Macaca fascicularis: one gene and its partner. The protein of the gene in region 1 interacts with the protein of each later gene in a pairwise test. Links are inferred from orthologs where the notes say so. Each region holds a gene or a part of one and is shown on either strand. Other genes may lie near its edges.

Region 1 (3,815 bases):
CTATTTTGAAAGAAAATTTCATTATTTTCCTTGTTGCCTACAAATCTGAAAAGTATACATCCTAAGTAAAAATCTTTGCCTTAAGATAACTGTCCAGGCCAGGTGCTGTGGCTCACACCTGTAATCGCAGCACTTTGGGAAGCCGAGGCGGGTGGATCACGAGGGCAGGGGTTCAAGACCAGCCTGGTCAACATGGTGAAACCCCATCTCTACTAAAAATACAAAAAATTAGCCAGGTGTGGTGGCAGGCGCCTGTAATCCCAGCTACTCAGGAGGCTGAGGCAGGAGAATTGCTTGAACCTGGGAGGCGGAGGTTGCAGTGAGCCGAGATGGTGCCATTGTACTCCAGCCTGGGCAACAAGAGTGAAACTCTGTCTTGGAAAAAAAAAAAAAAAAAGATAGCTGTCCAACAATGCTGTGGTGTTTTGTCATTTGTTTTCCTTAAAGTTTGTTTTTATGCTAGGATTATTGTAAGAAGTAGGAACAATAGCTAATATTTATTGAGTGTCAACTGTTTGCCAGGCTCGGGGCTAAGCTCTTTACACTCATTATCTGATTTAGCCAGGCTGCAAGCCTGTGATTCACGGACTCTCATTATCTCTGTGTTAATGAGGTGGAAAGTGAGGTTCAGAGGTATGGAGTAACTTCTCCCGAGTGGCACAGCTAATCGTTGGGAGGGCCAGCATCTGAACTTGGTTTCTCCCCTCACAGAGCCATGCTGTCATCCCAAGTGCTAGGGCTCTGCTCTTTTCACCCTGTAGCCTGCACTGGTCTCACTGTGTTTTTGCTTATCTTCCTACCCAGATGCACAAGTCTGGCGTTCTGAGGAAGGCCATTGATTACATCAAATACTTGCAGCAGGTCAATCATAAACTGCGCCAGGAGAACATGGTGCTGAAGCTGGCAAATCAAAAGAACAGTAAGTGTGCTGAGAGCAGGGTTGTCCCCCGGCCCGGCTAGGGCTTTGTAAAGGCAGATCATTTTCACCAGGTGGGGTTTTCTTTGCAGAGCTTCTAAAGGGCATCGACCTAGGCAGTCTGGTGGACACTGAGGTGGACCTGAAGATCGAGGACTTTAATCAGAATGTCCTTCTGATGTCCCCCCCAGCCTCTGACTCAGGGTCACAGGCTGGCTTCTCTCCCTACTCCATTGACTCTGAGCCAGGAAGCCCTCTGTTGGATGATGCAAAGGTACAGACTTTTGAAATCTTCTGATCCTTGGAATCTTTCCCATTTCCCCTAAGAAAGTAGCTGCGAGGTCACAGTTATGAGGCCAGGCTGCATGTTCAGAGGGCCTAGCCTGGAGAGAAACAGGAATTCTGTGAAATTAACCAGGTCCTGGAGAATAAAGAAAAAGAAAACTGAGCCGGGCACGGTGGCTCAAGCCTGTAATCCCAGCACTTTGGGAGGCTGAGACGGGCGGATCACAAGGTCAGGAGATCGAGACCATCCTGGCTAACACGGTGAAACCCCGTCTCTACTAAAAAATACAAAAAACTAGCCGGGCGAGGTGGCGGGCGCCTGTGGTCCCAGCTACTCCGGAGGCTGAGGCAGGAGAATGGCATAAACCCGGGAGGCGGAGCTTGCAGTGAGCTGAGATCCGGCCACTGCACTCCAGCCTGGGCGACAGAGCCAGACTCAGTCTCAAAAAAAAAAAAGAAAAAGAAAACTGACTCTGGGGGGAAACAGTCCCTCAGGTTTAACTGGTCCTTGCTGATAGGCCCCGTCAGAGAGTAATGAGTGCCAGATCCAGAACAGGAATGCGGAGTAGCTGTTGTGGGGGCGTTGGGAGCTGCTGAAGGCACCTCATTGCTTCACTCTGCCTTTAATGGGCCTGGCAAGACCACTTTGGGAGGCTGATCAATTCGTTTAGGATGAGGCTGCCTCTGGGTCCTCTTTTCAGAAATGATTACAATTTGCAGTCTAACAGATAACATTTTATCTACGGGCCTTTAATCGTCCAAGAAAGCCCCTGGCAATGGTAGTTTAATGGAATTACTTAAGAGAGGCTCTGAGCCTAATGATCTTCCTGGGAACCTGTAGAGACCACTGGGTTCTGTACTGTATTTTGACTTCGGCAGTTTCTGACTCTGTAAGCACAAAGTTCCCTTCTAGTGTTTGTTTTTGACTAAGCTGTTTATTGTATCACATACTTAATTTTACTAAGGATGCTCTGTTTTTGAAATATTCTTATAAATGTGATTCTGTTTGGCAACAACAGGCTGTTTGACATATAAATTGAATTAGCTCGGCTTCTGAGTCATCAGAAGAATGGTTTTAAAATATTGAAAAGAAATGACATGCTATATACACATTGGGGCGCAGGGGAGATCTGGCTCCAGCCCTCCTGCTATAAAATGGAGAGTGGGGTGGGTGTAGACAATGGTACTGTTTTAGAACAGGTAAAATATCCTTTAGATAGATTCACACTAAATATGATTTTTGATCAACTTTATTGAGGTATAATTTAAATGCAATAAAATATACCTACTTTAAATGTACAGTACCAAGAGTTTTAACATAATGTACAGTGCTATGTAACTGTCACTATAATCAAGATATAGAACATTTCCATCACCCCAAAAAGCTCTTTTGTACACCTTTGCAGGTAGTTTCCCACACCCCTCTCCAGCCTCAGACAATTACTTGATTCATCAGTTTCCTGTTACTTTAGATTCATTTTGCCTGTTCTGGAATTATACAGAAACAGAATCATACAGTGTGTTCTCTTTTGTGGTAGAGCTCTATTTTAAAAGAAAATCTCTTCTACCTTTGTTCTTTGGCACATGTACTTTTCTCAGTTAGCAAGCAGGTGAATGTGCCAATGTTTGAGCAGCAGTTAGTGAATTATAGGCCTCTCAATTCCCATCTGGCCTTAGTCCTGAGTTAATAGACTTGAATTTAAACCTCATAACCATTTCTCAATATATATATGTATTTATAAAGTGCTGTAAAAACCTATGCAGTATTTATTCCAACCTCGAGGCCTTGTTTTGAAGGTCAAAGATGAGCCAGACTCTCCTCCTGTGGCACTGGGCATGGTAGACCGCTCACGGATTCTTCTGTGTGTCCTCACCTTCCTGTGCCTCTCCTTTAACCCCCTGACTTCCCTGCTGCAGTGGGGAGGGGCTCACGACTCTGACCAGCACCCACACTCAGGCTCTGGCCGCAGTGTCCTGTCATTTGAGTCAGGTAAGTGGCGGCCCCTTACACCACCTGGGCATGGCTGGACCACTATGGCAGGAGAAGGACCCTGTGTACAAACTTCTTGGCTTGGCTACCAGGTCCCAAAGGGGTTTTATAGTGGGCCCCCACCTGCTTGCTTCTGATAGGGACTGGCATAAGTTCCGTTTTGGAAGTAACAAGGCAAGCCCAAGTTCAGTCAGAATGAGCAAAACAAATCAGGGACCCACACTACTCTAAATACCCTGGCGTGGAGGGGTGGTACCTATTTGAAGGAGGATATGGAGTTTTTTACCTGAGGTTGCAAAACCAATGCCTTAACCCTTTCAAGCTAACAAAGATTTTTGTGGCACTCAGCTCCATAATGACAAGGGCTACAGTCATTAGCCCCGTTTAGATTATAGAATTATTCACCCTTTCTTCTGAAAATACGGTAGAAGACTCGTTCCTGTGATAGTGCTGGGGTCTGTCAGGTGCCTGGCTGTTCCGCAAGGCCTTTCCTGGCAGGCTCTGCTGAGATACTCCTTCTTAGGTTCTGGGGGCTGGTTTGACTGGATGATGCCTACTCTTCTCTTATGGCTGGTAAATGGTGTGATTGTCCTGAGCGTCTTTGTGAAGCTGCTGGTCCATGGG
Region 2 (3,815 bases), on another chromosome or scaffold:
TGTGCCCAGTCACTCTTTGTATTATCTTTTTTTTTTTTTTTTTTTTTTTGAGACGGAGTCTCGCTCTGTCACCCAGGCTGGAGTGCAGTGGCCGGATCTCAGCTCACTGCAAGCTCCGCCTCCCGGGTTTACACCATTCTCCTGCCTCAGCCTCCCGAGTAGCTGGGACTACAGGCACCCGCCACTGCGCCCGGCTAGTTTTTTGTATTTTTTAGTAGAGACGGGGTTTCACCGTGTCAGCCAGGATGGTCTCGATCTCCTGACCTCGTGGTCCGCCCGTCTCGGCCTCCCAAAGTGCTGGGATTACAGGCTTGAGCCACCGCGCCCGGCCCACTCTTTGTATTTTCAATGATGATTCTTGAGATTTCAGTGAGTCTTCAGGTGTCAGTGAATGGAATGGCTGAACATTTTAAAAAGGCTTCAAAACTTGTGATACTGTGAACGTAGGATGTCAGTTCAAAAGAAATGATGCCGTGACTGTAGGGTATCACTGAGATGCCAGTGATAACCTGCCCGTGTCACATGTTGACTCTTTTCTCTCTTAATTATAGGTGATCATGGAGCTCAGCTTGGTCTCCATGGGGCTGGTGGTGATGGAATACATGATGACACAGCAGGTGGAGAGGAAGGAGAAAACAGCCCAGATGCCCAACCCCAAGCCGGTCGGAGGACCCGGCGGGAAGCATGCACCTGCCCCTACTGTAAAGACAGTGAAGGAAGGTGAGTTGACCCAGCAAGTTTCTTACAAATATGAAGAAAAAATAATAGGATTTGGAGGAAAGAGGAAGAAGGTTAATTTTTTTTTTTTTTTTTTTGAGACCGAGTCTTACTCTGTCTCCCAGGCTGGAGTGCAGTGGCGCCATCTCGGCTTACTGCAACCTCTGCCTCCCGGGTTTAAGCAATTCCCCCTGCTTTAGCCTCCCAAGTCACTGGGATTACAAGCATGTAATCCACACCTGGCTAATTTTGTATTTTTAGTAGAGATGGGGTTTCACCAGGTTGGTCAGTGAACTCCTGACCTCAGGTGATCTGCCCACCTTGGGCTCCCAAAGTGCTGGGATTACAAGCATGACCCACCGTGCCTGGCCTTGGGTTTTTTTGTTTGTTTGTTTTTTGTTTTTTTGTTTTTTTTTTTTTGAGACAGAGTCTTGCTCTGTGGCCAGGCTGGAGTGCAGTGGTGTGCGATCTTGGTTCACTGCAACCTCTGCCTCCCGGGTTCAAGTGATTCTTCTGCCTCAGCCTCCTGAGTAGCTAGGACTACAGGCATGCACCACCATGTCCAGCTAATTTTTGTGTTTTTAGTAGAAATGGGGTTTCACCACGTTGGCCAGGGTGGTCTCAATCTCTTGACCTTGTGATGCACCCTCCTTGGCCTCCCAAAGTGCTGAGATTACAGTTGTGAGCCACTGTGCCCAGCTTAACTTTTAAATTTTTTATAGAGATGGGATTTCCCTGTGTTGCCCAGGCTGGTCTCAAACTCCTGGGCTTAAGCAGTCCTCCTGCCTTAGCCCCACAAATTGTTGGGATTACAGGCGTTAGCCACTGCACCCAGCCTAGAAGCCTTTTTAAAAATTTAATTTAATTTAATTTTTTTTGAGACTGAGTCTCGCTCTGTCGCCCAGGCTGGAATGCAGTGGCGCAGTCTCGGCTCACTGCAAGCTCTGCCTCCCAGGTTCACGCCATTCTCCTGTCTCAGCCTCCCGAGTAGCAGGGACTACAGGTGCCCGCCACCACGCCTGGCTAATTTTTTTTGTATTTTTAGTAGAGACAGGGTTTCACCGTGTTAGCCAGGATGGTTTCAATCTCCTGACCCTGTGATCCGCCTGCCTCCGCCTCCCAAAGTGCTGGGATTACAGGCGTGAGCCACCGCGCCCAGCCCCTAGAAGGCTTTTTAAAAGGAAGCCTTGGTCCATCGCGGTGGCTCACGCCTGTAATCCCAGCACTTTGGGAGGTGGAGGCAGGCAGATCCATCACCTGAGGTTAGGGATTCGAGACCAGCCTGGCCAACATGGCGAAACCTCATCTGTACTAAAAATACACAATTCAACTGGACATGGTGGCGTGCACCTGTTGGTGCACTGGACATAGTGGCGTGCATCCTAGCTACTCGGGAGGCTGAGGCAGGAGAATCATTTGAACCTAGGAGGTGTGAGCCGTGATCATGCCGTTGTACTCCAGCCTGGACGACAGAGTGAGACTCTGTCTCAAAAAAACAAAACAAAAAAGAAGGCTTTTTCAAAAAATAAAAGTTTGGGTTAGTTTGGTGTAGGTTGGGTGACTGTTGTTGATACTTTGTGGTTCTTTAGTTTCTGTCTCTAGAATGAATGATAAATAGTTGTATCCTCACTTTCAGGGGCTCGGGGGATCCTGGCAAAAAGAAACAACATATTTGCCACATCCAAGGCTGTGGGAAAGTGTATGGCAAGACTTCACACCTGCGGGCACACTTGCGCTGGCATACAGGCGAGAGGCCATTTATGTGTACCTGGTCATACTGTGGGAAACGCTTCACACGTTCAGATGAGCTACAGAGGCACAAACGTACACACACAGGTGAGCAAGAGCCTATGGGAGAAAAATAGAGTAATAGCCTAGAATGAAAAACACAAAATATACCTACAAAATAACTAAAATTTCTGAACAACTTAATTTGAAACTAAATATATGGGTCACAAATGGAATTGGAGTTAATCTGGAAACCTTTTAAGAAGGAAGGAGGAGCTGCGCACAGTGGCTCACACCTGTAATCCCAGCACTTTGGGAGCCCAAGGTGGGCGGATCATGAGGTCAGGAGATCAAGACCATCCTGGCTAACACGGTGAAACCCCATCTCTAAAAATACAAAAAAATTAGCCGGGCATGGTGGCAGGCTCCTGTAGTCCCAGCTACTCGGGAGGCTGAGGCAGGAGAATGGCAGGAACCTGGGAGGCGGAGCTTGCAGTGAGCCAAGATTGTGCCACTGCACTCCAGCCTGGGCGACAGAGTGAGACTCCGTCTCAAAAAAAAAAAAAAAGGAAGGAGTTGGGTGCGGTGGCTCACGCCTGTAATCCCAGCACTTTGGGAGGCCGAGGTGGTTGGATTTCTTGAGGTCAGGAGTTTGAGACCAGCCTGACCAATATGGGGAAACCTTGTCTCTACTAAAATTACAAAAGTCAAGCGTGCTGGCGCACACCCGTAATCACAGCTACTCGGGAGGCTGAGGGAGGAGAATTGCTTGAACCCAGGAGGTGGAGGTTACAGTGAGCTGAGATTGTGCCACTGCACTCCAGCCTAGGCGACAGAGCAAGACTGTCTCAAAAAAAAAAAAAAGGAAGGAACTAGATTTTGAGTGGGATGTTTTGAAGGCAAAGCGTTGAAACCATTACTCTTAGTCTCTGCCCTGCCTTACTTTTCTGCTAAGTTCTACCCTCCTTACTGAGTACTCCCCAACCTTTATCTACTTTTCTTCCCCACGCCCCCACCAAAGGAAAAGATACTTGAAGATTTTTCTTGTTTTTAATCATCTTCTCATACTGGTCTTACTCAGCTTAGTAGAGTAATTACTGAACTGGGTAAGATAACCTCACTTCCTAACATGTCAGCTTCTTATCTTTCCTTCCTTTACCTAGGTGAGAAGAAATTTGCCTGCCCTGAGTGTCCTAAGCGCTTCATGAGGAGTGACCACCTGTCAAAACATATCAAGACCCACCAGAATAAGAAGGGAGGCCCAGGTGTAGCTCTGAGTGTGGGCACTTTGCCCCTGGACAGTGGGGCAGGTTCAGAAGGCAGCGGCACTGCCACTCCTTCAGCCCTTATTACCACCAATATGGTAGCCA

Evidence for each region.
Region 2: the proteins of SREBF2 (region 1) and SP1 interact in binary tests that used the Homo sapiens proteins (3 or more experiments, as listed by UniProt). The link is inferred for Macaca fascicularis from reciprocal best matches to the Homo sapiens genes SREBF2 and SP1.

What each region holds. Positions count from the first base shown.
Region 1 is NC_088384.1:9,732,165-9,735,979, reverse strand, and holds part of SREBF2 (sterol regulatory element-binding protein 2), read left to right. Parts: intron 1-804; coding exon 805-919; intron 920-1,008; coding exon 1,009-1,190; intron 1,191-2,998; coding exon 2,999-3,191; intron 3,192-3,714; coding exon 3,715-3,815.
Region 2 is NC_088385.1:60,209,595-60,213,409, forward strand, and holds part of SP1 (transcription factor Sp1), read left to right. Parts: intron 1-551; coding exon 552-720; intron 721-2,353; coding exon 2,354-2,553; intron 2,554-3,608; coding exon 3,609-3,815. UniProt on the Homo sapiens protein: Transcription factor that can activate or repress transcription in response to physiological and pathological stimuli.